Linked DNA regions of Oryctolagus cuniculus. The protein of the gene in region 7 interacts with the protein of the main gene of each other region in a pairwise test. Links are inferred from orthologs where the notes say so. Each region holds a gene or a part of one and is shown on either strand. Other genes may lie near its edges.

Region 1 (3,414 bases), on a different chromosome or scaffold from region 7:
TCTATATTGGTGGTTCCACAATAGCATCCTTATATAATGCAGGCCAGGAGCTAGGTTGAGCCAGTGTCTGTAAATCTCAAAAAGCAAATACTCATAAAAGCCAGATGATACAGTTTGTTATTCCCCTTTTGCTTTGCTTATACTGTTAGTAAAGCCAGATCTGAAAGTTCCGGTTTCATGTCAGCTGAGCCACAAGGAATTCAGGGAACAATCTTGGGTTCACATCTGGACTACACTAATGTGGAGATGGCAGTGGTAACTTGGATGAAATTCCAAAGGGAGGGTGAATCTCAAGGTACAAGAGTCAGGGACCTGACACCACTGGCCTTCTCCAGGTAGAAAAGTTCCCTCTCTGGTACCAATCTCCCTGGATCTGCACTTGGCTAGGGAAGATGACATCTCCTTATGCAAGGGAAGAGGTGATGATGTCTCAGATCTCTACATTCTCCCTCTTCTGGGAATAAGAGTGCCAAGGACTCAAAACATAAAGTGACCAACAACCCAGCAATGTGAAAATATGGGACACCAGCAACTGGACTAACAACTCCTTTTTACAGATTAGGGGGAAAAGGAAAACAGCAACAACACACAGTATGAATTCCAACCCTGCCTCTAGAATGACTGCTCAAGGAGTAGGAAACAAAAAAACATGACTTTGCAATTTCAACTTTCCCTTGCCTGTTTGTGCTGATGCTGTTCTCTGTCTGGAATATGTTTTTTTTTCATTCCTTTGCCAACTAGGTCCAATTCTCCAGGGCTCAGGCCACTCATCATTTCCTCTGGCAGGTCTTATAGACTCTCCATGATGGGCTATACCCCTCCCTCCCTCAGCTTGAAATGTCCTTCTCATATCTGTCCAGAAACAAAGTCTTATACTTCTGGGTCCAGTTAGAGTTTAACATCTAAGTGTAAAACTTCTTAGAATTACCCAGCTAACAAGTCGTACCTCCTTCCTATGAATTCCTACAGGAAGAACAGTGTTAGTGAAGTGGAAAAAAACTAAGTTCTGAATCCAAATCCAGGCTCTGCAGCTTATTATCAGTAAGACTACGGGCAAGTGAGGTATTTCTGTGAGGCTCAGATCTTCACGGTTTCCTGTGGGTCATTTGGCTCTTCCACTGGATTCCAAGTAGCTAGGGAAGGACCTCAGTCTAAAGTTCTTTTCCTATATCCTAGAGTGGATCAAGGGAAAACTTAGTCTCACACAGGAGATGCTAGCTAACATGCTGAAGTGAGTTTCCCCCCAGACCTGTGCATGCTTCATCCTAGTTAAATCTAGCAGCAATCCTCCCTCCTTTTCCTCTGCATAGCTGTACCTTGCTCAGCACTGACGTAGAAATACTTGTAGCTTGGGTTTCCACTTTCATTGATGATTTCAGGACGCACCTTGCCACTGGGGTCTATTGGAGATAAAACGGCACAGAGGTTGAGTAATCACAACAGTTACTTCAAGCACTACACGGTATACTAGGCTCTGTGGGAAATTACACCTGTCCGTCTTTGCAGCCTACTATCTCACCATCCCAACCCTGCCTTTCAGGCTGTAATCACAATGATTCCTTGCAATTCCCTGAACACAGCATACACTTCTCACCCCTGGAGTCTGGTACTCGCTGTTGCCTCTTCCTGGCACGTTCCTTTACTGCTTGCCGGAGGCAGGATCATACATTTTTATTTGTGTCTTCTACATAATCTAGCAGAATGCTAAGTAAAGATTAGGTGGTCATTAATAACTCATAAAATTGTCTGTGGGAAGACATTTGTCTGGTTATACTATTCCATTGCCTCAGCTGCAGAGTAGGGTCAAGAGCGGGAATAGTGGCTTATCTCTGCCTAGCAAGGGCTGATGCTCAAATGATGGCTGAATGAATAAATGGATGGCCCGCCTCCTGTCCCTGAGTTAATGGGGAAGATTTTCCTCCAAACTTGCGGTTCTGGCACTCCAGACTCCCCAGCTCTCTTGAAACTGGCTGGTTTTGTTTTGGGCCATCCCAGTAGTTTAACTACATGGAGTCGGTCCCTTCAGGCATTTCTTCTCCATCCTACGATGGATCCCCACATGAAGATTTTGTGCCTTACCCAGGAAAAGGATTCTTGGAATATAACCCCCATCGGGGCTGAAATCTTCATCTTTTGGTTCCTCTTCATCCTATTAAGATTAAATGCGAACCTTGGGTCAGATCCTGTCCTCTCTCCTTGAAAGCTTCTGGTGGCTTCCTTTGTCACTCACAGGAGAACCTGAAGTCGCTGCGATACATAATCTGCCACCTGGGCGCTTCCCTAACTCCACAGGCTACCTGTTTTCAGTCTTCTTTGTTCGGCTTGACATTGCTGTCATTCAACAAGGCAAGCATGCTCCTAACTCGGGCTTCAGGGTTTGCTCTCACCCTCCGCCTGGACACACTTCCCCCATCCTCCACATGGCTTACTCCCCTTTCTGCTTCAGATCTTTGTTCACACATTACCTTCTTTCCTAACTATTTAAAATTTTAAGCCACCCACCACCCTTTAATTCTAGCCATAGCATTTATCACCAACAGTCATACTTTATTTATTTACCTGTCTCTCTACACTACAACGTTATTTCAGTGAGGGAATTGTATCTGCTTTGTTGAGTGCTGAAGTCCCAGTACCTACAGTACTAACTTGCAAACAGTATTTCTTGAATGCAAGAATGAATGAGACTGGCATTTTAGCTGTAACTGTGGTATTCTAGTCCTCCTGGGAGACACAAATATAATCAGTTTTTCTTTTTAAAAAATCTCTGAAGTTGGAGAATGCTCACTGAAAACGGTATTTCTGTCTCCTGAGTGGGGATCCTAATTAATCATAGACAGTAATTAGGAGTTCACGTGCATGGGAAATCAACAGTAATTTTATAACGTATGGTATGGTTCTCATTTCAGGGGTTAAGTGGGGTCATTTCTTCAGACTGAAATATAACTTTGCCTTGGTGAGGTGTATCAGCATTCAGGCCATCCATAAGCTGAAAAGCAATCCCTCAGCTTCCTCAATATTAATTTTTTTTTTTTTTTTTTTTGACAGGCAGAGTGGACAGTGAGAGAGAGAGACAGAGAGAAAGGTCTTCCTTTGCCGTTGGTTCACCCTCCAATGGCCGCCGCGGCCGGCGCGCTGCGGCCGGCGCACCACGCTGATCCGATGGCAGGAGCCAGATACTTATCCTGGTCTCCCATGGGGTGCAGGGCCCAAGCACTTGGGCCATCCTCCACTGCACTCCCTGGCCACAGCAGAGAGCTGGCCTGGAAGAGGGGCAACCGGGACAGAATCCGGCGCCCCGACCGGGACTAGAACCCGGGGTGCCGGCGCCGCAAGGTGGAGGATTAGCCTAGTGAGCCGCGGCGCCGGCCCTCCTCAATATTAATTGTTAGTACGTTCATAAGATTCTCAGTCCCA
Region 2 (4,143 bases), on a different chromosome or scaffold from region 7:
GGGGCCGGCCCGGATAACGATTTGAAAAGCAGAGGATGAAACAGAGGCTCGGCGGCGACTGGGGGGGGGGGAGGGGGGCGGGGGGGCGGCAGTATTTTGATTTTTTTTTTCTTCCTAAACATGTCACTGAAGTCACTTTCCCGCCTGGAATCCCCGCTATACTCGGCCGCCCCGAGAGAACCGGGAGGCCCTCTGGCCACTTGCGACCCCGCGAGCGCCCCGCGCCTGAGGCAGGAGGAAGGTTTACCGAGAACAAAAGAACGCTCGCCAGTCCGGAGGCGCTCCCGAGAACAAGGGGAGCCCCTCTCCGGGTCTGGAGAACGCGTTCAGGAGCAGCGGCCCTGGTTTCTGACACGCATGGCAACTTTCCTGGGCAGATTCCAAATGGAGGATCAGATCATGCTCCCGCAACGGAGACGGGTCCCACCCCCAGGCCACAGGCCCACAGAAGTAAGGGGCACAGGGCCCCGGCAGAGGCTCTGCGAGTCGTACGGAGTGTGCCGGGCACTCGGGCCGGCCCCGTTTCCTACGGCCTCGCCGCGGCCACCTCAGCGGGCGGCGGACTCCCGGGCCGGGAGGAGCGCGGGCGGGACGGCCCGGGGCCCCGCGCCTGGAGTCCCGCGCCGGACCCGCTCCTCGAGGGTCTGCACTTCCTCCCGCCTTCGCTCTCGGCCCCCACGGCTGCCGCCGATTTCTCCTCCGAGGCCACCCCTCCTCCTTTTTACAACCGGGGGAGGGGGTGCGAGGGGACCGCAGCCTTACGCGGTCTGCCCGGCTCCGGAGGGAGAAAAGCAATCCGCAAGGCGCGCCCCCTTCCCACCCCGTCCGGATCCGCACGCTTAGGATCCCGCCACCCAAAGCCCCCGCCAAAGCTCAGCGTTTCCAGCCGGGAAGCGACTGAAGCGGCTCCGGGCCCCCGCTCCCCGGCCGTGGCGCGGCGCTATTCTCGACTCTGAGGCGAATGAGCCCTTCTGCTCAGGAATGTGTGTTTAGTGCACCCGGAAGAGGAACAAATCTTTCAAGTAAATTCCCTTTCTGGTGCGTTTTTCTCCCCTGAGCCAATGCAGGGTAAAAGTTTTTCCCAACTTTTCCCTCCCAGTCCCCCGCCCCTCCCCTCAGGAATCCGCCCAGAGCGCAGCAGTCACCGCCTCCCCCCACCCCCGTTCCCTTGCCCGCCCCTTCCGACTTCCACCCAATCCAGAGGCGGCCCCAGAGAAAACAAAGGCCACCATTGGGCCGCGCCGGGGCGCGGGCACCGCCCCCTGAGTGGTTTGTGAATGGGGGGAGGGGAGGGGGCGGGTCGGCCGGAGCGCTGCGAGCCCGACGCTTCTTCTGGCCACCGGCGCGGCTCCCAGGCGTTACTCGGCGCTCCCTCCCGGCGGCTGGCGGCGGCGGGCGCCGGGACTCGGGGGCCGGGGCTGCGCGAGGCCGGAGAGGCCGGGGCCAGGCCGCGGGCACAGGGGCCTCGCCGCTTCAGACGCCGAGTGACTGTGCTTGCAGCAGAAGTCGCCGGGCTCCAGGCTCTGAGGCGCCGGTGGGACTCAGCGAGAGCCAGCCGTTTGGGGCTGAAACTTGGGGCCGAAGAAGGCGCGGGGCGTGGAGGAGGAGGCGAAGGAGGCGGTGGCGAGCCGAGCCTCGAGGCGAGGAGGCGGAGCAGCACCTCCGAGGCGGCGGCCCCGGCGAGCAGGCGGCGGCGGCGGCGCCGGCTCTGACCTGGCGGGGGCCGGACTTGGAGTGGGGGGCGTGCGCGTCCGTGTGCGCTGGGTTGGGTTGGGGGGAGGGTTCGAGAGACTTCGGCAAACTTTGAAGGGGAGCCGGAGACGCTTGTTGCTCCTCGCCGCAGAGAAAGGCGCACCGTTACGTCCCCGCAGAGAGGGCCAGGCCGTCCCCCTCCGCGCCCCCGGCCCAGACTGACGCGTTTGGGCCCCCGGCGGCCGCGCGAGCGCCGGGCGGAGGCGGCTGCGGCGCCCCCGCGGCGCGGGCACCCCAGCGGCAGCTCCCTCGGCTCCGCGCCGCCCACGGCCCGGCCCCGGCGCCGGGAGGACTCTCATGCGCCGGGCGCGGCGGCGCCTCCCGGCATCCAAGCCTCTCCCAGCCGCCTCATCGCACTCCCTGGGCTGAGAGCGTCGCTGCACTCGCGGCCGGCGATGCGGGGCCCCGGCGCGGCCGCGTCGCGTTCGCCCCTGGGCCTGTGCGCCCTGGTGCTGGCGCTGCTGGGCGCGCTGCCCGCGGGCGCCGGGGCGCAGCCCTACCACGGCGAGAAGGGCATCTCGGTGCCGGACCACGGCTTCTGCCAGCCCATCTCCATCCCGCTGTGCACGGACATCGCCTACAACCAGACCATCCTGCCCAACCTGCTGGGCCACACGAACCAGGAGGACGCGGGCCTCGAGGTGCACCAGTTCTACCCGCTGGTGAAGGTGCAGTGCTCGCCCGAGCTGCGCTTCTTCCTGTGCTCCATGTACGCGCCCGTGTGCACCGTGCTCGATCAGGCCATCCCGCCCTGCCGCTCTCTGTGCGAGCGCGCGCGCCAGGGCTGCGAGGCACTCATGAACAAGTTCGGCTTCCAGTGGCCCGAGCGGCTGCGCTGCGAGAACTTCCCGGTGCACGGCGCCGGCGAGATCTGCGTGGGCCAGAACACGTCCGACGGCTCCGGAGGCCCCGGCGGCGGCCCCACCGCCTACCCCACGGCGCCCTACCTGCCGGACCCGCCCTTCACCGCGCTGCCCCCGGGGGCTGCGGACGGCAGGGGCCGCGCCGCCTTCCCCTTCTCGTGCCCGCGCCAGCTCAAGGTGCCCCCCTACCTGGGCTACCGCTTCCTGGGCGAGCGCGACTGTGGCGCCCCTTGCGAGCCGGGCCGTGCCAACGGCCTCATGTACTTCAAGGAGGAGGAGAGGCGCTTCGCCCGCCTCTGGGTGGGCGTGTGGTCCGTGCTGTGCTGCGCCTCGACCCTCTTCACCGTGCTCACCTACCTGGTGGACATGCGGCGCTTCAGCTACCCAGAGCGGCCCATCATCTTCCTGTCGGGCTGCTACTTCATGGTGGCCGTGGCGCACGTGGCGGGCTTCCTGCTGGAGGACCGCGCCGTGTGCGTGGAGCGCTTCTCGGACGACGGCTACCGCACGGTGGCGCAGGGCACCAAGAAGGAGGGCTGCACCATCCTCTTCATGGTGCTCTACTTCTTCGGCATGGCCAGCTCCATCTGGTGGGTCATCCTGTCGCTCACCTGGTTCCTGGCGGCCGGCATGAAGTGGGGCCACGAGGCCATCGAGGCCAACTCGCAGTACTTCCACCTGGCCGCGTGGGCCGTGCCGGCCGTCAAGACCATCACCATCCTGGCCATGGGCCAGGTGGACGGGGACCTGCTCAGCGGCGTGTGCTACGTGGGCCTCTCGAGCGTGGACGCGCTGCGGGGCTTCGTGCTGGCGCCGCTCTTCGTCTACCTCTTCATCGGCACCTCCTTCCTGCTGGCCGGCTTCGTGTCGCTCTTCCGCATCCGCACCATCATGAAGCACGACGGCACCAAGACGGAGAAGCTGGAGAAGCTGATGGTGCGCATCGGCGTGTTCTCGGTGCTCTACACCGTGCCCGCCACCATCGTGCTGGCCTGCTACTTCTACGAGCAGGCCTTCCGCGAGCACTGGGAGCGCACCTGGCTCCTGCAGACGTGCAAGAGCTATGCCGTGCCCTGCCCGCCCGGCCACTTCCCGCCCATGAGCCCCGACTTCACGGTCTTCATGATCAAGTACCTGATGACCATGATCGTGGGCATCACCACGGGCTTCTGGATCTGGTCGGGCAAGACCCTGCAGTCGTGGCGCCGCTTCTACCACAGACTCAGCCACAGCAGCAAGGGGGAGACTGCGGTATGAGCCCCGGCCCCTCCCCCACACCCTGCCCGCGCCCACCCGCTGTGAGTGGTGGTGGGGGGGGGAGGCGCCGCCGGGAGAGAACTGTCGGGTGGGTAGGGGGGCTTGTTTTGGTCACCACCTTTCCCTCCACCGGGAAACGACCGGGGAGCGAGTTGTTTGCAGAATTGGGGTGGGGGCCGCGGAGGTGGGGGTTGGAAAGGAGGCCTTAGTGGAAAGTGGTTTGGATCAACAGACTTCTGGCAAAGACTTTCAGGCTGATGATGATGGTGGT
Region 3 (3,500 bases), on a different chromosome or scaffold from region 7:
TAGGGAGGACAGCAATCATCCCTAAGATGGAAATACTTGCACTTGAGACACTGGCCTCCAAGCTCCCTCTCAAATCCTCCCCGCTCTGGGCAGCTTCTGTCTATATCTTTGAATCAAAGAGCATTTCTTCTAAAACTTAGGTGAGCTACATATGGTCACTGTATAACAGAATGATCACTTTATAACTGCACTCTCTCTGTACTCTGAAACATCCTTGGCATCTCAAGAACACAACAGATTATTAAATAATTTAATAGTGCACAGTATTATATCCAGACAATCTGAGCTTAAGTTTGGATGAAATCCTTTCTATCCTTGCTAACCTCTAAATGCCTGAATAATGTTTATTTCTGCAAATGTTTCACTGCAGCTACGAGCATTATTCTATACAATTTCAAAGGCACATCAAATGCAGAGGAATGCTTTGAGAGGAAATTTAAATATAAAATGTGCTAGTGGTTCATTCTTTGAACACCTACCTTCAAGAGACAATACTGATGCAAGCAACCTGGGAAGCCTGTGGATTCAAGTCCAAACAGCTGCCCAGGGAAAAGACAAAATACTTCCCTGTTTGCCTACCCCTAGATTTAAATTTCTCTAATGGTCAACAGTGTCTTTGGTTAAGTTCCACCAAACTACTGTGCTCACTTAAAACTTTCTCAGGACAGGCGTTGTAGCCTAGTGGGTAAAGCACTGCCTATAATGCTGGCATCCCACAGGGCACCAGTTCAAGTCCCAGCTGCTCCACTTCTGATCCAGCTCCCTGCTAATGCACCTGGGAAAAGCAGCAGAAGATGGCCCAAGTGTTTGGGCCCTGTACCCATGTGGGAGACCCAGATGAAACTCCTGGTTCTTGGCTTCAGCTTGGTCCAGACTCCAGCTCTTGTAGCCATTTGGGGAGCAAGCCAGTGGATAGAAGACCTCTTTCTCTCTATCTCCTTCTGATTTAAAAATAAATATTTTAAAAACTTCTCTTCATTATATCTGACACAGATGTAAAGGTCTCTAAAATCCAGCACATGTTTGAGAAGGGAAATCACACATTCTCCTTGTCAACACTGACACTATACTTGGTGAACAGTTTATGAAATGATTATCACTGACAATTAATGAACAGCTCAATATTGCTGGATGGTTCTCCCACTGCTAGCTCCCTCCCATGATTTGTGGAATATCTTTTTCTGGATGAATTTTGGACAGGAGAAGTCTCCCAAAAGACTCATATGGCAGCCAAGAAATACCTAACTTACCAGGATGAATTACATTTCAACTGTTACTGTCAATAACATCTTGAAAAACAAACCAAGTAAATGTAATGAAGGAAAAATGAAATATACATTAATAAAGAGTCATTGCTTGTATGTGTCATATTTCAGGTACATATGTGTGGTTTCAGGTGTCTCTGTGCTCAAAGCATACAGCTTCAAGTACAGACAACATCAACTCACCAGTCATGGACGGTGATACTTTCCGCTGCCCTTTGTCAGTTTTCCCCTCGTAAACCACTGTAACATCATAAATCGCATCTAAGTAATTCTTCATAGAATCAAAAGCGACATGAGTTGCCTTTATTCTTGGTGTTAGCACATGTTTTAATACTGGAAGACCTAGAAAAGAAGTCAATCAGTGTGGCTATAAATTACCAACACATTAAGTCTGACTTCTGACTTGTTTAAATTTCCACAAATAGACCAAAATACAGTATTACACTAATTTAATATCTTTAGGGCTTTAAGTGCAAAAAGGACTCTCACATGACTTCTCCTGTTTAAATCAGCATCTCTTTATGACATATTTATAAAACTTCTGCACGCACAAGACACTGTGTTGGAAGCTGGCAGAAAACCAGCCCTCAGGAAACTTGGGACCCATGGAGAACCCTTCAGTGTGGTGAAGTCCGACACAGGCAAATGCTAGATCCCCTTCGCTGGCAACTGAATCGAGATGAAGAACCCTGCCCGTGGTCACTCATGATGCTTCAGGAGAACAAGTTTAATTCCTGACTCCTGGTCCATGAATCCTCTAACTCCATTTCTCTTCAAACAGTGATGGGGGAGTCGGAGATAACTTAAATGTCCCCCACTATGCATAAGACCCAACGTAAGAGAGCTGATATGGTCCATATGTTGTGAGATACAAACCTAATATTATTCAGTTTAAACTGAAGAATCCAGCTTCTTGATACACTTTTAAAAATTGAGACATAATTCATATGCCATAAAATTCTCCACTTTAAAGTACACAATTCAGCGGTTTCAGTCTATTCAGACCTGTGCAATCACCACCCCTGCGTCACCCCCAACACACACCTGCAGCATGAGTATACTGTACACTCCCCTGGCCACCTGCTCTGGGTCTCTATGGCTCTGCCTGTCCTGATATTTCACGTGAAGGGAACCTTTTGTGTCTTATTTCACTCAGCATGTTTTAGGCTTACGTACATGGTTGTGTATCAGTACCTCAACCCATTTTAATGGCTGCAAAAAGCATTCCATAGTATGGATAGGTGGCTTCTTAAAGTTATCCAATTGTACGTATTTATGGGGTCCAGAGTGATAATCCAATACATGAACATAATGTGTAATGATCAAATGAGGGTAGATGGCACGGCCATCTCCACACACATTTAAAAATCTTCCTGATTACCACATAGTAGTTGTACATAGTTACAGGGAACAGTGTGATACTTCTACATGTACACGATGTTTCCACTTCCTTACCCTTGGTGTTTGGAGCCTCCCTGCTTCTGACTGCTCATGAAGATGTTACTGTACGCTACAGTCATCCCCTTGTGCTGAGGAGCGCTAGAGCTTATTTTTCTCTCTTAACTGTGCTTTGGCACCCTTCATCTAGTCTCCTTCCAGTCCCACCCCTATAATGTCTAATAATCACTATTGTACACTCAGATCAACTTTTTAGCTTCCACATGACAGAAAACATGCAGTATCTGTCTGCATCTGACTTATTTAACACAATGATCTCCAGTTCCATCCATTTTGATGCCAAATAATATTCTACTATGTTTACATCCCATATTCTTTATTCATTCATCTACTGATGGGCATCTGGATTGAGTCCATCTTAGCGAGTGGGCATACTGCAGCAATAAACATGGGAGTCTAGGTATGATATGCCAATTTTATTTCCTGTGGATATATACCCAAAAGTGGAAAAGGTGGAAACTGTAGACATGTTTTCAATGTTTGAGGAACCTCCATAATGGTTTCCATAATGGCTGGACTAACTTACATTCCCACCAACACTGTATCCATTTTCTTTTCTTCATATCCTCACCAGCACTTGTTATTTTGGGTCTCTTTTATAATAACCATTCTAACTGGAATTGATGGTATCTCATGTGGCTTTGGTCTGCACTTCCCTAATAGCTGATAATGTTGAGCATCTTTTTATAATTTTGTTGGCTATTTTACTTTTTCTTTTGAGAAGTGTCTTCATATCATTTGCTCATTTTTAATCGGACTGTTTGGTTTTTGTTGTTC
Region 4 (3,982 bases), about 130 Mb from region 7:
TGCGGCAGCCCCAAGGAGCAGGAGATGTTGCTCAGCACCGTCAAGTGCGGGCGTCTGCAGAGGTGAGGCCAGGAGGCGGGGCGCGGCAGGGGCGGGGCGGGGCGGGGCTGCCCTGGGCCCAGGGGGCCCTCACCTGCCCCTCTTCCTGCAGGAACCTGGGGCCTGTTCTGAGCAGGACCTTATCCCAGCTCTACTGCAGCTGCGGCCCGCTGACCTGAGCTGCGCCGGGAGGCAGAGCCCCGGCTCCCTCCCTCCCTCCCTCCCAGGCCTTTTAACCAGGGCCTCGGGCCACAATAAAAATGAAGTCTGCAGCCTCGGTGTGTGGGGGGCGCGTGGGCCCAGCAGTCGTTAGAGCGAGTCCTCCAGGCCTGGGGCTCCCGGGCCTGGGGCCGCAGTGCGCGGCGACCTTGACCTGGTTTGCAGGAGCGGATGGTCCCTGAGCAGAGTCCCGCTGCTGCGAGGTTCTCTGGCTTGGGAAAGAAGAGTGGAAGACCACAGCAAGCAGTTGCCTCCTTTATAACTTAGAACACAGGCCCAGGGAGCGGCGAGGGCTGTCCGAGGCCTGGCCCGGAGCTGGGACTGGGCCCGTGGCGCTGTCCGTCGTGGGGGGGGGTGTCCGCAGGTCCCTGCAGGGGGCCAGCCAGGCCTACTGCACTTCAGTCTGCACATTCCCCTCCTTCCCTCTGGGGGCAGCCCCGCCCCTCCCCGGCGGCCTGGGCCAGCAGGGCTCCTCCTTTGTCCCTTTATTGCCTGTCCCTCTCTGCCCCTCACAACGGCATCTTGCACGTGAGCGGAGCAGTCACCCCGCGCCCCCACCCGCCCCTCAGAAGGCGTAGGCCCCCACGAAGACGGTGAGTCTCAGCACGGAGCTGGCCCGGTAGCTCATGAGGGAGTTCATGGTGACCATCTCCAGGTCCAGCACGTACTCCCGGGGGCCTGTCACCGGCCGGGCAAGGACCAGCATGGCGCTGACATTGTTGATTTGCTGCAGGGCACACGGGTTGGGTCAGCCTGGATTCCGGGACCCTGCTCCAGTCACCGTCTCCCCTCCCCTCCTGCCCTCGGGGAGCCACAGGTGCCCCCCCCCCCCCAGCCGGTTCTGTCCAACCAGGGCTCAAGGCCAGGTGTGACGCTGCGGGGTGGTGAGGCCTTTGGTGACTGGAGCGGGCAGACTCCCCTTTGAAGCACCCACTTCCCAGAAATAAAAAAAAAAAAAAACTGGCAGGCGCAGTGGCACAGCAGGTGAAGGCCCTGCGGGGGGCACCCGCGTCCCACAGGGGAGTGCCTGGCTCCGGCTCCTGCTAGTCCCCCCGGAGACCTGAGTGCACGGGTTTCTGCCGCCCATATGGGAGACCCAGAGGGAGTTCCTGGCTTCTAGCTTCAGTCTGGCCCCGCCCTGGCAGTTGCAGATATGTGGGGAGGGGGTGAACCTGCAGATGGAAGATTCTCTCTCTCTCCCTCTAACTTCAAATAAATAAAGTTTAAATAGCTGGCGTGCCGTAGCAGGAAAAACAGCTGCCTATGACGCCGGCATCCCATATGGGTGCTGGTTTGAGTCCCGGCTGCTCCGCTTCCAGTCCAGCTCCCTGCTAATGCGCCTGGGAAAGCAGTGGAAGGTGGCCCAGGTGCTTGGGCCCTGCACACATGTGGGAGACCCGCATGAAGCTCCTGGCTTTGGCCTGGCCCAGCCCAGTGGAATATCTTTTTCTCTGTGTGTCTAACTCTTTCAAATAAATAAATCCTTAGAGGGAAAAAAAATGAATAAGTAAAACCCAAGCACGGACCGCAGACACACCGCACACGAGGGCCCTGGCTTGAGACTTGCGCTGCTCTGTGGACCCCCTCACCTACAGCCCCACCAGCAGGGCTGCATCCTCTGGCCCCAGACCCCTGCACGAGCCCCCAACACCATTCCCTTGTTTTATGGGTGAGGAAATTGAGGTCGGATGGTAGACACCATACCAGGCCTAACCCCCTCCCCCCTCCCCCCGCCCCGGGGAGCAGCCCCACCTCCCTACAGAAGCCCCACCTCCCCGGGGGCGGGGCATGGCACGGAACCACGGGAACGTCTCCCACTCCAGGCCCACTCCAGGCTTCCGGAATTCAGCCGAGGGCTGGGGGTGAGGGAGAGCCTTACCCTGATGTAGAAGTCTCCCTGTGAGTTCCCGGCGCGGATCTGGAAGGCGTTGTAGGCGCCGGGGTAGACAGACGTGGCCTGGATCTGGAACACGTCGGCAGGGACGCTGCGCTCGGAGGTGATGCTCATGTAGCGGTGCACGATGGACGAAGGCTGCTCTCGACACAGGGGATTGGAAGCCGGACAGAGGCAGCGGCTAGAGACCCCAAGGCGCGGGACACAAATGAAGTCCTAGCTCATCTTCCCAGGCCCCCACCCCGGCCCCGAAACTTCGCCCACCTGCTCCATTCCCCTGGAACTGTGGGCAGGGTTTAGCCATGAAAGACTACAACTCCCATCAGCCCTTGTGGGCACTCATCCGCTCAAGCGGGCAGCAGTCCACCCCAAAGCCTTCTGGGTGTTGTAGTTTCTGCTGGCACAGCAGGGACTCACTTGTCTGACACTTGCACGTAGGGCTCCACGCAGCGGTTCGTGTCCACGCAGCGGTAACCCCCGTGGAAGTTAACACAGGTTTGGGCCTCAGAGCACTGGTGTGCACCGGACTCACACTCATCGATGTCTGCGGGGAGGGGGCAGAAGCGTCAGGCCGCCAGCCCCCGACGCCCCTGCCTGCCCCACCTGGGCAGGCCGTACCTTGGCAGAGGCGTGAGGCCATCAGCTGGTAGCCTTGCGGGCAGTGGCAGGAGAAGCGTCCCGGCTCGTTGACACAGCGGTACTGGCAGAGGTAGCTGGAGTAGCTGCACTCGTCGATATCTGCGGAAGGCTGGGGGTGAGGACCCCGGGCCCGGGGCAGGCCTCACGGGTCAGCCCCACAAGGCTTACTGCCAGGGCCCATCACGTGTCGGGCTGAACGTGGGGAGGCAGAGATGAGACAAGGCCCTCCGCCCCAGTAAAGGGCAACAGGGGTCACAGAAGGGCTCCCAGTCCTGCCCCTGGACGGCCCGGCCCCACGACAAAGAAGCTCAGGGCGTCTGCAGGCTCAGATGGACTTTGGGGAACCCCGCTTCCCCTGCCTTTAGAATGAGTGAATGAGGGGCTGGCGCTGTGGTACCGAGGATAAAGCCGCCACCTGCAATGCTGGCCTCCCATACAGGTGCCGGTTCAAATCCCGGCTGCTCCACTTCCGATCCGGCTCACTGCCAACGCCCCTGGGAAAGCAGTGGACGATGGCTCAAGTGCTCGGGCCCCTGCACCCATGTACGTGGGAGACCTGGGTGAACTTCCAGGCTCCTAACCCAGCCTGGCCCAGCCCTGGCTGTAGCGGCCATTTGGGGAATGAACAGCAGATGGAAAATCTCTGTGTATATACCCTGTGTGTGCATAACTGTGCCTTTCAAATAAACAAAAATATGTTTAAAAAACTTGCACAGGTCAGACTAGAGGGATCATGAGGGACCTAGTTTGCAAATCCTGAAACCCCCCAGGGGGCTACACATGCAGACCATTTTCTTTCTTTCTGTTTTTTATTTCATTTTCATTTTATTTGAAAGGCATAGAGACAGAAACCTTCCATTCGTAGTTCACTCCCCAAAGAGCTGCAACAGCCGGGGGTCAGGGAAGCCCAGAGCTCAGTGCAGGTCTCCCGTGTGAGTGACAGACACCCAGCTACGGCGGCTCCACCTGCTGCCTCCCAGGGCACCAATTAGCAGGGAGCTGGGACTGTGAGTGGAGCTGGGCTCGGACTCAGGTATTCAGGTACGAGGCATGGGCAGCTCAAGCAGGGTCTTCTCCGTCCTCTCCAACACCTGTCCTGGGCCCACGTTTCCGCAGGCCCAGGTAGGTAAGGAGGTGCACTGTACGGGGCAGGTTCTGGAGAAGTGACAGTTCGTCTTGGGGCACTGCGGC
Region 5 (3,500 bases), about 26 Mb from region 7:
ATATGGGTGCCAGTTGGAGTCCTGGCTGCTCTGCTTCCGATTGAGCTCCCTGCTAATGCACCTGGGAAAGCAGCAGAAGATGGTCCAAGTCCTTGGGCCCCTGCCACCCACATGGGAGACATGAAAGAAACTCCTGCCTTCTGGCTTTGGCCTGGCCTAGCCCTGGTTGTTCCAGCCATTTGGGGAGTGAACAGTGGGTGGAAGATCTCTTTCAGTCTCTCTCTCTCTCTCTCTCTCTCTCTTGCCTTTCAAATAAAGTAAATCTTAAAAAAAAAAATTTTGGAGCAAGTGTCTCCAGCTATATCCTTCTTTCTAGGTACAACATTATCACCAGTTAGGCTTCTAACTGGGAGACCATAGGTGAACAGGAAAAATGCCCTTTGAATCTTTTATGAATAACCAGACCACTCTCAGGAACCTGTGAAATGGAGCACAGATTCCATTTGCCATTCTCGTATTGTCTTAGCTGTGGCTTTCTCCTGTTAAGATAAACTGAGTTTGTTTTTTTTTTTTCCAATGCGGGGGGGCGGGTTTTCTGTGAGCCTGCGCTGTGTCAACCTTGGGCCCAGGGCATGCTGCCTTCACGGGAACTCTGATTTTCAGTCTTCCATTAAATACTAGAATCAGTTTTCACTTATCCTTGTAATGTAAGGGAGTGCTGTTAGCGCTCTCTCACACTGGGGCTGTTTTAACCGGCACAGAGGAGTGTCTATCGGGACAAAATTGCAAATGATAATAAATACTGGAGCAACTTTCAGCTATTTTAGAGGGCCTCGTTTTTCAGCAGTGCCCCTTGGATGGGTTTTTCTGTTCTGTTCACCTTCCATCTTCTGAAGAACTGTGGGACTGTGATCCCAGCTATGTTTGTAATTCTTCCATTTTTAAAGAAAAGCTTGTATATTCATTTGCAAGGCAAAATGACAAGGAGAGAAAGGAAGAGATGCATATACAGAGTGCTCTTCCATTCACTGATCTTACCAAATGCCGGCAGCAGCTGAGGCTGGGCCTGGTGCAAACCAGGAGCCAAGAACTCCAGCCGAGTCTCCCACCTGTGTGTCAGGAGCCCAAGCACTTGGGCTCTCATCTGCTGCCTCCCAGGAACATCAGCAGGGAGCTGGATGTGATGTGGGGTTAGGACTGTATCCTAGGCACTCTGGTATGAGATGTAAATGTCCCAAGTGATGGCCTACCCTGCAGTACCACAATACAAGCTGATCTTTTTATATGTTTTTCAATCAACCAATTAGAGAAAAACTCTCATCAACTAGTTCACTCCAAAACAGATGCAACAAAGCCAGGAGCCAGGAACCCAGTCCAGGTCTCCCATGTGTGTAGCAAGAACCCAATGACTTGAGGTATCATTGCTGCCTCCCAGGGCCTGCATTAGCAGGAAAGTGGAGTCAGGAGTTGGAGTTGGGTATCAAACCCAGCCATTCTGATATGGGACTGCAGGTGTCTTAACCAGAATCTTCATCACTAGGTTAAATGTCTGTCCCAAGGTCTTCCATTTAAAACTTTTTAAAAAGTAAACTGGGGCCAGCGCTGTGGCACAATGGGTTAAAGCCCTGGTATGCAGTACTGGCATCCTATATGGGTGCCGGTTTGAGTCCAGGCTGCTTCACTTCCGATCCAGCTCTCTGCTATGGCCTGGGAAAGCAGTAGAAGATGGCCCAAGCGCTTGGGCCCCTGCACCCATGTGGGAGACCTGGAGGAGGCTCCTGGCTCCTGGCTTTGGATCAGTTTAGCTCCAGCCATTGCGGCCATCTGGGAAATGAACCGGTGGATGGAAGACTCTCTCTCTCTCTCTTTCTCTCTCTGCCTCTGCCTATCTGTAACTCTGCCTTTCAAATAATAAATCTTTAAATAAAGTAAACTTATTATTTTCATTTTATTTGAAAGGCAGGGAGAGATATAGAGATAGCAAGAGAGTGAGAGGGAGAGAGTTACTGCATCCACTGGTTCACTCTCAGAGGCCTGCAACAGCCAGGAGCTGGGTACTCAATCCAGATCTCCATGTGGGTGGCAGGTATTCAGCTGTTTGAGTGATCGTCTGCTGCTTCCCAGGGTGTGCCTCAGCAAGAAGCTGGATCAGAAGCCGAGGAGCCAGGGCTTGAACCAGGCACTCCGAGAGGGGATGCAGGCGTCCCAAGCAGTGTCTCAACTACTGCGACATATGCCTGCCTCTGATTCTTTCACTTGTAACAACAGTTTCCTGAGCCACAACTCAGGCCTCCAAACGATGCAATTTTGTTGTCCTGAGCAGAAGCCATTTAGTTCCAGAGCGGGCTCGCTGATTCCTTGAATGGCCTCTAGCTCTTAACTTCACTGTCTGCAAGTTTCACCGCCCGGCCTGCGCTGCTCTGGGGTTTGCAGATTCCTCCTCTGCTTGCATTTGGTCTCAGCCCACACGGCAGCTCCCCCTCCCCAACCTGTGCAGGTGGTCCCTTCCATGGGGCCAGACTCATCCTGAGCTGCAGGAGGATGCCTCCAGGGAGATTCTGAGCTGTTTTGGGAAAAACGAACATTTTGGCGTGGGTCTTTGTTTCGCTTTTGAATTTAACGTTTTTTTGTTTTGTTTTGTTTTGTTTTGCTTGTTTTAGGTGTGGAGGGGTGGTTTGGAGAGGCAGATTTTCCCATAGCGCTGGGAAAGAGCTCCCCGGGCCAGCAGCCTAAGTAAATGTTAGTGACTGTGTATCACTTTGGCCCTGGCAGGCCTGGGTCCGCAGGTGTTTCCTGCCCAGCACTTTGAAGGCTGCAGAAGGATCATTTATGTTTTCTCTCTCTCTATCAGGTGAGGACATCCCGAGCACACCTGGAGAAGAAAGCACATCCTTATCCACCCCCAACTCAAACCGGGGGCCTCCCGGGCGAAGCCGGAGAGCCCCCCCACCCCTGCGGGCAAGGTCAAAGAGTGACCCCGTGCTCCATCACTGCGAGGAGAGAGGTGAGCTCACCCCAAGCTCTCTGAAGAGCGCTCTGCTCATTTGTCCAAAGGCGCCAGGGCAAAGCAGGTGGCTGTGGCCTGCAGGTTCTGTGGTCTCTGGAGGGAGGCTCAGCGTCCCGGGGAGAGCCAGGCGTTCCACGCGCACGGGAGCGATGGCCCTGGGCCACGTCTTCTGAGGCTGGTAGGGTTTGTGTTTGAAAGTCGTTGTCACCCAAAGCATTGGACTGCTCACTACCGCGTAGCCCAGGAAGAAAGTCACACAGTCCCAGGCCTGAAAGTCCAGGTGCTTGTAACCCTGTGGAATTATGATCGGTAAGGAAAAAGCCGGAGGAGTGTACTCGTTTTTACCTGTCCTTTATAATTCAACACTTGTTGTTGAGGTAGCTTGAATCATTGAAATTCAACCCTGTTTTCAGAACTTTGAGTGGTGTGAAATGCACACGCTCTCTCCCTGTCAGTTTTCAGCGTGTTTGTGTATGGATGTTATTTACTTAAAAAGTTTTAAAAAAACTTTTTTCTGATTATGAACTTCAAAAAGTTCATGCAAAGGTGGAAA
Region 6 (3,980 bases), on a different chromosome or scaffold from region 7:
TAGCATGGCCAAGCTCTGGCTGTTAGGGTACTGGGGGAGTGAACCAGGAGGTGAGAACTGACACTCTCGCTCTATCTTTCAAATAAAAAGTACAAATTTAAAAATAAAAGAGGCTGGAAGAAAACGTGCTGCTCTGCAGTTACTGCCTCTAGGAGGCGGCGGGAGCAACAGTCTGGGTTTCTCTGCACTCTCCTATTTCCAGTGACTCCGCTGTTCTGTGTCACCAGGAAAGCAGCATACTTTGCAAAGCGAATTTTGCGGTGTGGCAGAACCCATCCCCGAGTCCAGCACCTGTGACGAGGACTCCCCACACTGTGAGGCCTGCAGTCCCTGCTCCACGCTTCCAGGCAGACGTATAAAGATGTCGATAGCAAAAGGAAGCTGCTTCCCTCCTTCTCTCCTTTCCTCCCCCCGCCCCACCACCTCTTCCTGTACCTGCTCTCAGCTTGGCCCCTTTCTCTACTACTTGCCCACCCACCGCAGGCCCCATGTTGCCTTTTTTTTTTTTTTTTTCCTTTCTTCAAGTCATTGTGGAGTTTGTAGACCTGGTAGGGAGATGGTAGGGGTGATAGGAATACAGTCGGCCCTCCATCTCTATGGAGCCAAATGAGGGGAGACAACACCCAAACCAAAAATCACGGGTGTACAGAAGGTGTACAGAATTTCTCTCTTGTTCCCTTAAAACATACAGCATACAGTCAGCGCTGTGGTGTAGCAGGGTGAAGCCTCCACTTGTGGCACCTGCATCCCATATGAGTGCTGGTTCAAGACCCAACTGGGCGCCAGTTCAAAACCCAGCTGCTCCACTTCCAATCCAGCTCTCTGCTAATGGCCTGGGAAACCAATGGAAGATGGCCCAAGGGTGTGGGTCTCCGTACCCTTGTGGGAGACCCAGAAGAAGCTCGTGGCTCCTGGCTTCAGGTTGGCCCAGATCCAGCTGGTACATCCATTTGCGGAGTGAACCAGTGGATGGAAGACCTCTGTCTGTCTCTTCCTCTCCGTCTCTGTAACGCTACCTCTCAAATAAATAAATAAATCAACTATCATGTACACAGCATTCATACCACAGGCATTACAGGCAATCTAGAGAAGACATAAAATGTTTGGGGCGGGGGAAAGGACACGCAGAGGTTATGTCAAACACTGCCATCTCATAGAAGGCTTCAGGACTGGTATCCGACTGGGTCCGAGAACCAGCGCCCTGAGTACAGCTAGGGTGGCTGGATTCCAATTCCACAGGTGACTACCGCCAGGCTCACCCTTTGGGTCAATGACACTGAGAAGGAAGAAGCAAAAGAGAGAACAAAAACTAAGACAGAATCCTACACAGCAAATTCTGGTCACTTTCCAGGGACTGTGTCCTGATCATATATTGGTGCTCTAGGGTGAAAAGCTTCAAAGTCACTGACAGGTTAAAAAAAAAAAAAAGGCACCCCAAGTCAGCATGACAGGTAACTGTCCAGTGTGTCTTTAGAATCACCATCAGAACCTGAAAACTAAAAAGAAGGAAACATCTGTAAAGATGAAACTTAAACAGCAGCCTTTTTTAAATAAACAGGCCCTTCTAGGAAGCCACATTGTTTTTCCCACCAGGAGGAAAATCGTGTTGCTTAAGAACACAAGACCTGCAAGGCAGCCACCCAGGCGCGCTGGCTGACCTCATCCTCCCGGGGCCTCTGCTCGCTGGGAACCCCGCCAACGCCAGAGCCAGCCCGGCTCCGGGGGTGTCATCCCTCCCCCACCCTCAGCACACCCCCAGGGGGCTGCCCAGCAAACCCTGGAGCAACGACGGAAGGAGTGGACCAGGGAGCTGCACGCCCAGCAGCAGCCCCGGGCCAGGCGCCTACCTCTTCTGGTTCATGGAAGCCACCTGGAGCCACTCGTTGGTGCTGGGGTTGTAGGAATGCGCAGCGGAGATCTCCTGGCTGGTGATCCTGTAGCCGCCCACGATGAAGAGGTAGTTGTCCAGAGTGGCCGAGCCGTAGCCCCTGACGTTGACCAGGTCCGGGGGCAGGTTGTTGGCCAGCGGGAACCAGCGCTCAGTCATCTCCTCGTACCTGAGCATGGACGGCGGCTCCCCCTGGTAGGGGTGCGGCGCCAGGGGGCCGCCCAGGAAGTCCCCCAGGGCCACCAGGACCGGGGTCCCCGTCATCCGGGCCTCCCTCAGCCTCTGCTTGAGGCTGACGTCCCCCGGAGCCGGGGGAGGCGACCCCAGCAGGTGGAACTGGGGCTTGCACAGCACCTCGTGGAAGTGCACGGCCATGAAGCGCAGGCAGGCGTCCTGCAGGTCGGGCAGGCCGTACACCTGCGCCAGGCGGTACAGCTCCAGGCAGTTGGTGAGCCGCACCTGGGACAGCAGCAGCTGCAGCAGGGACGTGACCTGCAGGAAGGAAGCCGCCTCCACGAGCGCGGCGAGCAGGCTCGCTTCGTCCAGCTCCTCCTCGCCATCGCCCGCGCCGCCCTTGTCCCCGCGCGGGCCCAGCTGCCAGCCCTCGCGGGCGCCGCCGGCGTTGATGAAGTCGAGCACGAGCCGCAGGCCCGGCGCGCTCAGGCCGCGCAGCTGCTGCACCTCGGGGCCGCCGGCCTCCGGGCTCAGGGCCTCGCGCATGCCGGAGCGGTAGAGGGCGCGGAAGTAGTCGCTCTGCTCGATGAGCTTCCTCTTGCTTACCGGGTAGCAGCGGCCCTCCAGGCGGATCTGCACCACCTCCTCGGCCGACATGGCTGAGCCGCCGCGCGCGGGGCCGCTGCCCGCCAGCTCTGCGCGCAAGCCCGGGGCCGCGCGGGGCGCGCCACGGCAGGGCGGCCCGGAGCGCGGGCGGGCGAGGGCGGCCGCGGCTGCGCCCGGCTTCCCGGGCAGCCCCTCCTCCCGGGCGGCGGCGACGGCGGCGACGGGGACTCGGGCCGAGCTCCTCAGCACCACCACCACCACCCCCGGGGGCGGCCCAGCCTGCGGGGCTCCCTCAGCACCAAAAAAGGCCGGGCCGCCGCGCGCGGGCTCCCCCGGCCGCCGCGTCAGGCGGGGAGGGAATCCCAGCCCGCAGCCGGCCGCCGGCAGCCTCCTCCCCCGCCGGCCCTCGCACTTCCGCCCGCCGGCCGCGCCGCGGCTGGACCCGGCGTGGGGGGCGCGCGGGCAGGTGCGGGCCGGGGCCGGGCTGCGGGGACGCCGGCGGCCCGACGCGGGGGAGCCCGGAGCCGGCCGCTCGCTCAGGGCGAAGGAAGGGGGAGCAAGCGTGACAAGGAAGGGCTGAAGAGAGTTCCGGGTCCGGGGGCCAAACCGGGGGGTCGCCCCCTCAAGGCCCAGGCGCCCGGAGCCACCTGTCCGGTGTGGTCGTCGAGCAGGAGCCATCTTGTGGGAGAAGGGCCCGGCCGGCGGCCCAGGTGGTCTGGGGTCCGGCGTCCTCGTCTCTCTTCAGGGACAGCCGCGGTCCCCCTCGTGTCCGTGAAGTCAGCCCACGTGCCCTCTGTTTTAGAATCAGGTTTTCCCACCACCTCCTTGTCCTACCCCCCCCCCCCCGTAAGAACTAGGAGGCAAAACCCTGTGCTTTTCCGCGTCCTCTCGGTTGCTGACAAACACAAAGATGGTACAGTCAAGGCCAGATCTGCGGATCCCACGGCGAGGGGAAGCCCCGCGCGCCACCCGGGGAGCTGCGGGCGGGCGCCAGGGGGGCAAAGCCAGGGGAGGTTTTTAAGGGCAAAATCGAGGATTCCCAGAAGACGCTTTGACCAGGAACGGGGTGCCAGCCAGTGACCGCGCGGAGGTCCTTGCACAAGTCCGTTTTGTGTTAGTGCCCTTTGTGCAAGCCCGCGTGGTTCAAGCGGACTCTTGGGGTCGTCACTGTCCAGCAGCAGCGGTCAGAACCCTAGCTTCCCTTATTTTTGTTAGGGTTGACACCAGCACCTCCGTTAGGATTCAGACAACTGTAACACTGCACGTGGCTGTTAGAAGACTCACCTCTACCATCAGCGCTCCTGACTTCGGA
Region 7 (4,103 bases):
TAACTACCATCAGAAAAAGTTACATCAGAAAAGCTTCAATTTATCCGTGAAAAATTCACTTCGGGAGTGCAGGCATTTAACCTAGGAATTGAGACACCTGCATTGACATAAGAGTGCCTTGTTCCACGTCTGCCTCCCTCTTCCTGCAAACGCAGACCCTGGAAGGCTCAGTGCTGGCTGAAGTCACTGAATTCCTGCCACCCACATGGGAAACTTGGATTGCATTCCGGGATTCAGACTTCAGCCCAACCCAATGCGGGCCCCCGCCAAGCATTTGGGAAGTGAACCAGAGGATAAGAGACTAACTGTGTGCTCGCTCTCACACACACTCACTTGCTCTCTGCCTCTCAAATGAACTTTTCCAAAAAATACAATGAACAGTTATTACTTTTTAAAACATTCACTTTCGTTTTAGGGGGTAAAAATGAAAACTTCCACAGACCTTACAATTTTAATTGCACCATCCCAAAAAAGAAAAATCATGCTTACAGATGCTGACCTACATAAATTTTTCTATTTATAAAATATTAACTATTCTCAATCTTTTGCAGTAAAATGCTGAAAACAGCTAGGATGGTGAAGGTCCGAATTAAGAAACACAGAAAGAAAAGTAAAGGGCTTCAAGAATGTAATCTGGTCACACATACAGTAAAGTAGTGGGCACGTGAAGACTTCTGATGTCAACTGTCAGCAGGGCTGTGGACCAACAGGAACTCCCATATGTCACTGCTGGAACTGTAAGAGCACTAATAGTTTCTTTTTAATGTTGTCACTTGAACAACTGCCCTATGACTATCGTTCCATTTCTAAACACTGACCATGAGTGATCAAAGTAGACATCCCTGAAAGATTTGCACAGTAACCAACCAGAAACCCAGGCGACCCTCGATGGCGAAGAAATTATGGTTTATCCATACAGTGGAAACTGCACAACAACTAAAAGGAGTAACTACTCATACAGGCAAGAATGAATCTCACAAACATCATGCGGGGAGGAGGGAGCCTTACCCAGAGGAGTACATTACATACTGTATGGTTCCACTTAAGTTCTGGAACACGCGAACGTGACATATGGTGACAAGAAACAAAACAAAAGTTGGGGGGTGGGGCAGTGACTGAACTGACTGGGACAGGCAAGAGTAAACTTTCTAGTCAGTCAGGAAGAGAATACTCTACACCTTGTTACCAGCTTGACCTACAAAGACGAAGGCATTTGAGAACAGAATGGCAACCCTGGTGAATTTCATGTCAAATTTACCTAAAAGGGGGGGCGCCTCAAGTTAATGACGCACACAATGCTTGGCAATGCCTTTCAGGTTTACACATACCGACATCAGCAACTCGGAAATACATCCAAGACGCAGTCTATTACAACAGAGGAGACAGCTGAGCGAATGCAGGAAAACACTGATCTCAGGCGAGGGTCACCCTCGTGGCTCGTCTTCCAGCCGTTCTACACGTATATAAACATGTCAAGGAAAACTGTTAAGGATGCTGGGAGACAAAAACAGAGTGATGGAGTTGATCAGGAGGTCCCACACTCCTCACCGCTCCACCAAGCACGGCCCCACCGCGCTCCGTCCCCAGGGCCGGCTCACACCCAGGCCGGGACCGGGTGCTCGTGCGAGCGGGCTTCCCGGGTGACCCGCGGAATCCGTACCACTGAGTATCTGCTCATCTCCACTAACTCCACTTTGTTTCCGCTCACCCACTCACGACTGCTGTACCCGCTCAGTCGCTGCAGCCCCTCTAAAACGCAAACAAAACCCCACCCGACGGGGCATCCCAAAGACCACAAATGCAATACAATAAAGAAACAGGAAGTCATCAATGAACGAAAGTCGTCCGCTTCTCTCCTTTAGGCCTAAGACGTGGCTGAAAGCAATTCCTACGTCATAGTCGATTTTTTTTTTTTAAATCAGGCTGGAAAGCAGGAAAGGTTTCGGCAGTCAAAACGCAGAATGCGATGCACGCGCTGCTCACCCCGATACCCACCCCAACCCGCGGGCAGGTGGAACAAAGCACACACACGCACACGACCCCAACCGCACCGCCTCCAAGATCCGCCGCACAAAACCGCAGCCCGCACCGGCGCGGACCCCCGGCCCCGCCCGCAGGCAGCCGCTGGTCCCTTTCCTTTGTGCGGAGCTGCAGGGGAGGCGGCGGCGGGCGGGCAGCTGGGCACCGGGGGACGCGAGGACGGCTCCGGGCCCGGCGCGGCGGGGCGGCCCCGACACGGACCTCGGCGGACCGAGCCCCCAACCTGGGTGCCACCCGCGGCGGCCTGAGACCCGCAGGGCAGCCCGCGGCACCTCCCGAGGCCCACCCGAAACCGGCCGCTCCGGCCGCCTCACCTGCTGGACCGAGCTGTTCTCGGGCACGGCGAACTCCTCCTTCTCCTTCGGGGTCTTCACGGTGACTTTCATGATCTTGGGCTCCGCCGAGGCGGCGGCGGCGGCGGCGCCAGCACCTTCGGCCGCGGCGGCGCCGTCCTGCGAGCCCGCAGGGCCGCCGCTTTCACCACTCTCGGCCATGGCGGCGGCGGCGGCGGCGGTGACTCAGGCGAGCAGGAGGGAGCGGGCGAACGAGGGCGAGCCAGGCGACGCCAGAGCCGGCCGGCCCGGGCGGCGGGGAAGGCAGGGCAACGCCGCCTCGGGGCCGCCCTGGCAGCCGGGGAGCCGCGCTCGCTGGGGGGCCGGCGCAGGCAGGCCCGACTCGGGCGCTCGGCAGCCGCCGCGGAGTCAGCCGCCGCTCGCTCGCAGCGACATCCGCAGCCGCCGCCGCCGCTTCCTCCTCCTCCTCCCCGCCCCTCCCCCACGCTCCTGCGCCGGCGCCGCGCGGGGCACGCCGGGTAACGCGGCCGGCGACGGCGCCGAGTCATCCCCCGGCCGGCGCGCTTTGGGGGGCTCCGGCTCGGTGTCTCTTCCTCTCCCGCCCAAAGTGTGGGAGAAAGAGCAAAATGGGGCGAGTTGAGGCTTTTCATTTTTTTTTAACAGCTCCCCTTTCACCACACACACACACTTCACCAAAAAATAAAACGCGGTGTCCGGGCGCACTGTGGCGGCGCGCCGCGATGACGTCACGGGTAGCGAAATTACTAGAAAGGGGTTCGACCACTGAGGGCCGCGGCCGAGTGTGCGCCTGCGCGCTCGTGATCCCGGTAGTCTCCCCACCCTTTTACGTCGCTCCCCGACTCTGCGGTGGGCGAGGAGTCGCCTCGCCTCGCCTCGCCTGGCCTGGCCTGCTGGCTTCTCCCCGACTTAGGTTTCCGTGTCCGGGACCCGTGGCGGGGAGCGTCTGGGGGTTAATTAGCGGTGAGGGGGTTTGTTATTTCACTATGCTAGGTGTTGCGTGCGTGGAAGACGTCAAGGCGTGTTGTGGCTGTTCTGGGCACGGGAGTTGGAGGACAGTTAACGGAGGAGGGGGAAAGGTGTTCATCACGGCGGGAGGAGGATGGAGTGGGCGCTTGGGACCCCTGCGCAACCCGCGGGGTCGCCGCTGGGGGCTGCGCTTCCCGCCCTCGAGCGAGGTCGCGGCGGCTCCCCCGGGGCCCAGCCGCTGTCCATTTCCTACTCCATCCCAGTTCCTGTTTTAGGTGACACCTAGGATCGGTCAACCTGTCTCGGTGCGCGCAGGAGCAGGAAGTTAGTGTACCTCTGAGAAGCCAGCGTTTGCAAATTATGTCATCGTTTGGTTTAAAGATGACTTGCAAGCAAAGTACAGCCCAGTACCTTGTATTAAGCAGTATTGCCCAATTGTAAACCCTGAGCGCCCGCAAGGGCCCCGGTTAAGCACATACACACACACACACACACACACACACACTGTTTTTGCACTCCTTTAGGCCTAAGACGTGGCTGAAAGCAATTCCTACGTCATAGTCGATTTTTTTTTTAAATCAGGCTGGAAGACAGGAAAGGTTTCGGCAGTCAAAACGCAGAATGCGATGCACGCGCTGCTCACCCCGATACCCACCCCAACCCGTTCTATAATAAATACTGTTGTATAAACACTGGGTTTTTGTTTGTTTGTTTGTTTAGCAGGAGCCTGTGGGGACTGTATCTACAAGAAGTTCTGAAGGTATAGATTGCAATGAAGATAGC

What was found.
Region 1: the proteins of UBQLN1 (region 7) and TXNDC12 interact in binary tests that used the Homo sapiens proteins (3 or more experiments, as listed by UniProt). The two-hybrid records come from large-scale screens. The link is inferred for Oryctolagus cuniculus from reciprocal best matches to the Homo sapiens genes UBQLN1 and TXNDC12.
Region 2: the proteins of UBQLN1 (region 7) and FZD7 interact in binary tests that used the Homo sapiens proteins (3 or more experiments, as listed by UniProt). The two-hybrid records come from large-scale screens. The link is inferred for Oryctolagus cuniculus from reciprocal best matches to the Homo sapiens genes UBQLN1 and FZD7.
Region 3: the proteins of UBQLN1 (region 7) and AGPAT5 interact in binary tests that used the Homo sapiens proteins (3 or more experiments, as listed by UniProt). The two-hybrid records come from large-scale screens. The link is inferred for Oryctolagus cuniculus from reciprocal best matches to the Homo sapiens genes UBQLN1 and AGPAT5.
Region 4: the proteins of UBQLN1 (region 7) and EFEMP2 interact in binary tests that used the Homo sapiens proteins (3 or more experiments, as listed by UniProt). The link is inferred for Oryctolagus cuniculus from reciprocal best matches to the Homo sapiens genes UBQLN1 and EFEMP2.
Region 5: the proteins of UBQLN1 (region 7) and ENTREP1 interact in a two-hybrid assay, tested with the Homo sapiens proteins (2 studies listed by BioGRID and IntAct). The link is inferred for Oryctolagus cuniculus from reciprocal best matches to the Homo sapiens genes UBQLN1 and ENTREP1.
Region 6: the proteins of UBQLN1 (region 7) and KLHL42 interact in binary tests that used the Homo sapiens proteins (3 or more experiments, as listed by UniProt). The two-hybrid records come from large-scale screens. The link is inferred for Oryctolagus cuniculus from reciprocal best matches to the Homo sapiens genes UBQLN1 and KLHL42.

Annotation. Positions count from the first base shown.
Region 1 is NC_091438.1:120,916,479-120,919,892, reverse strand, and holds part of TXNDC12 (thioredoxin domain-containing protein 12), read right to left. Parts: intron 2,150-3,414; coding exon 2,080-2,149; intron 1,401-2,079; coding exon 1,317-1,400; intron 1-1,316. UniProt on the Homo sapiens protein: Protein-disulfide reductase of the endoplasmic reticulum that promotes disulfide bond formation in client proteins through its thiol-disulfide oxidase activity.
Region 2 is NC_091434.1:37,924,836-37,928,978, reverse strand, and holds the start of FZD7 (frizzled-7), read left to right. Parts: upstream 1-1,343; 5' UTR 1,344-2,147; coding exon 2,148-3,872; 3' UTR 3,873-4,143. UniProt on the Homo sapiens protein: Receptor for Wnt proteins.
Region 3 is NC_091439.1:113,092,042-113,095,541, forward strand, and holds part of AGPAT5 (1-acyl-sn-glycerol-3-phosphate acyltransferase epsilon), read right to left. Parts: intron 1,608-3,500; coding exon 1,449-1,607; intron 1-1,448. UniProt on the Homo sapiens protein: Converts 1-acyl-sn-glycerol-3-phosphate (lysophosphatidic acid or LPA) into 1,2-diacyl-sn-glycerol-3-phosphate (phosphatidic acid or PA) by incorporating an acyl moiety at the sn-2 position of the glycerol backbone.
Region 4 is NC_091432.1:5,900,892-5,904,873, reverse strand, and holds the end of EFEMP2 (EGF-containing fibulin-like extracellular matrix protein 2), read right to left. Parts: intron 2,891-3,982; coding exon 2,771-2,890; intron 2,697-2,770; coding exon 2,570-2,696; intron 2,334-2,569; coding exon 2,138-2,333; intron 986-2,137; coding exon 824-985; 3' UTR 501-823; downstream 1-500. Other genes in the region: crossover junction endonuclease MUS81, read left to right, coding at 1-62, 152-218. UniProt on the Homo sapiens protein: Plays a crucial role in elastic fiber formation in tissue, and in the formation of ultrastructural connections between elastic laminae and smooth muscle cells in the aorta, therefore participates in terminal differentiation and maturation of smooth muscle cell (SMC) and in the mechanical properties and wall integrity maintenance of the aorta.
Region 5 is NC_091432.1:161,045,866-161,049,365, reverse strand, and holds part of ENTREP1 (endosomal transmembrane epsin interactor 1), read left to right. Parts: intron 1-2,791; coding exon 2,792-2,944; intron 2,945-3,500. UniProt on the Homo sapiens protein: Functions as an activator of the E3 ubiquitin protein ligase ITCH in the ubiquitination of the CXCL12-activated CXCR4 receptor. Thereby, triggers CXCR4 endocytosis and desensitization, negatively regulating the CXCL12/CXCR4 signaling pathway.
Region 6 is NC_091440.1:124,898,438-124,902,417, reverse strand, and holds the start of KLHL42 (kelch-like protein 42), read right to left. Parts: upstream 2,801-3,980; 5' UTR 2,720-2,800; coding exon 1,848-2,719; intron 1-1,847. UniProt on the Homo sapiens protein: Substrate-specific adapter of a BCR (BTB-CUL3-RBX1) E3 ubiquitin-protein ligase complex required for mitotic progression and cytokinesis. The BCR(KLHL42) E3 ubiquitin ligase complex mediates the ubiquitination and subsequent degradation of KATNA1.
Region 7 is NC_091432.1:134,662,780-134,666,882, forward strand, and holds the start of UBQLN1 (ubiquilin-1), read right to left. Parts: upstream 2,801-4,103; 5' UTR 2,535-2,800; coding exon 2,355-2,534; intron 1,350-2,354; exon of another isoform or gene 1,335-1,349; coding exon of another isoform or gene 1,329-1,334; intron 1-1,328. UniProt on the Homo sapiens protein: Plays an important role in the regulation of different protein degradation mechanisms and pathways including ubiquitin-proteasome system (UPS), autophagy and endoplasmic reticulum-associated protein degradation (ERAD) pathway.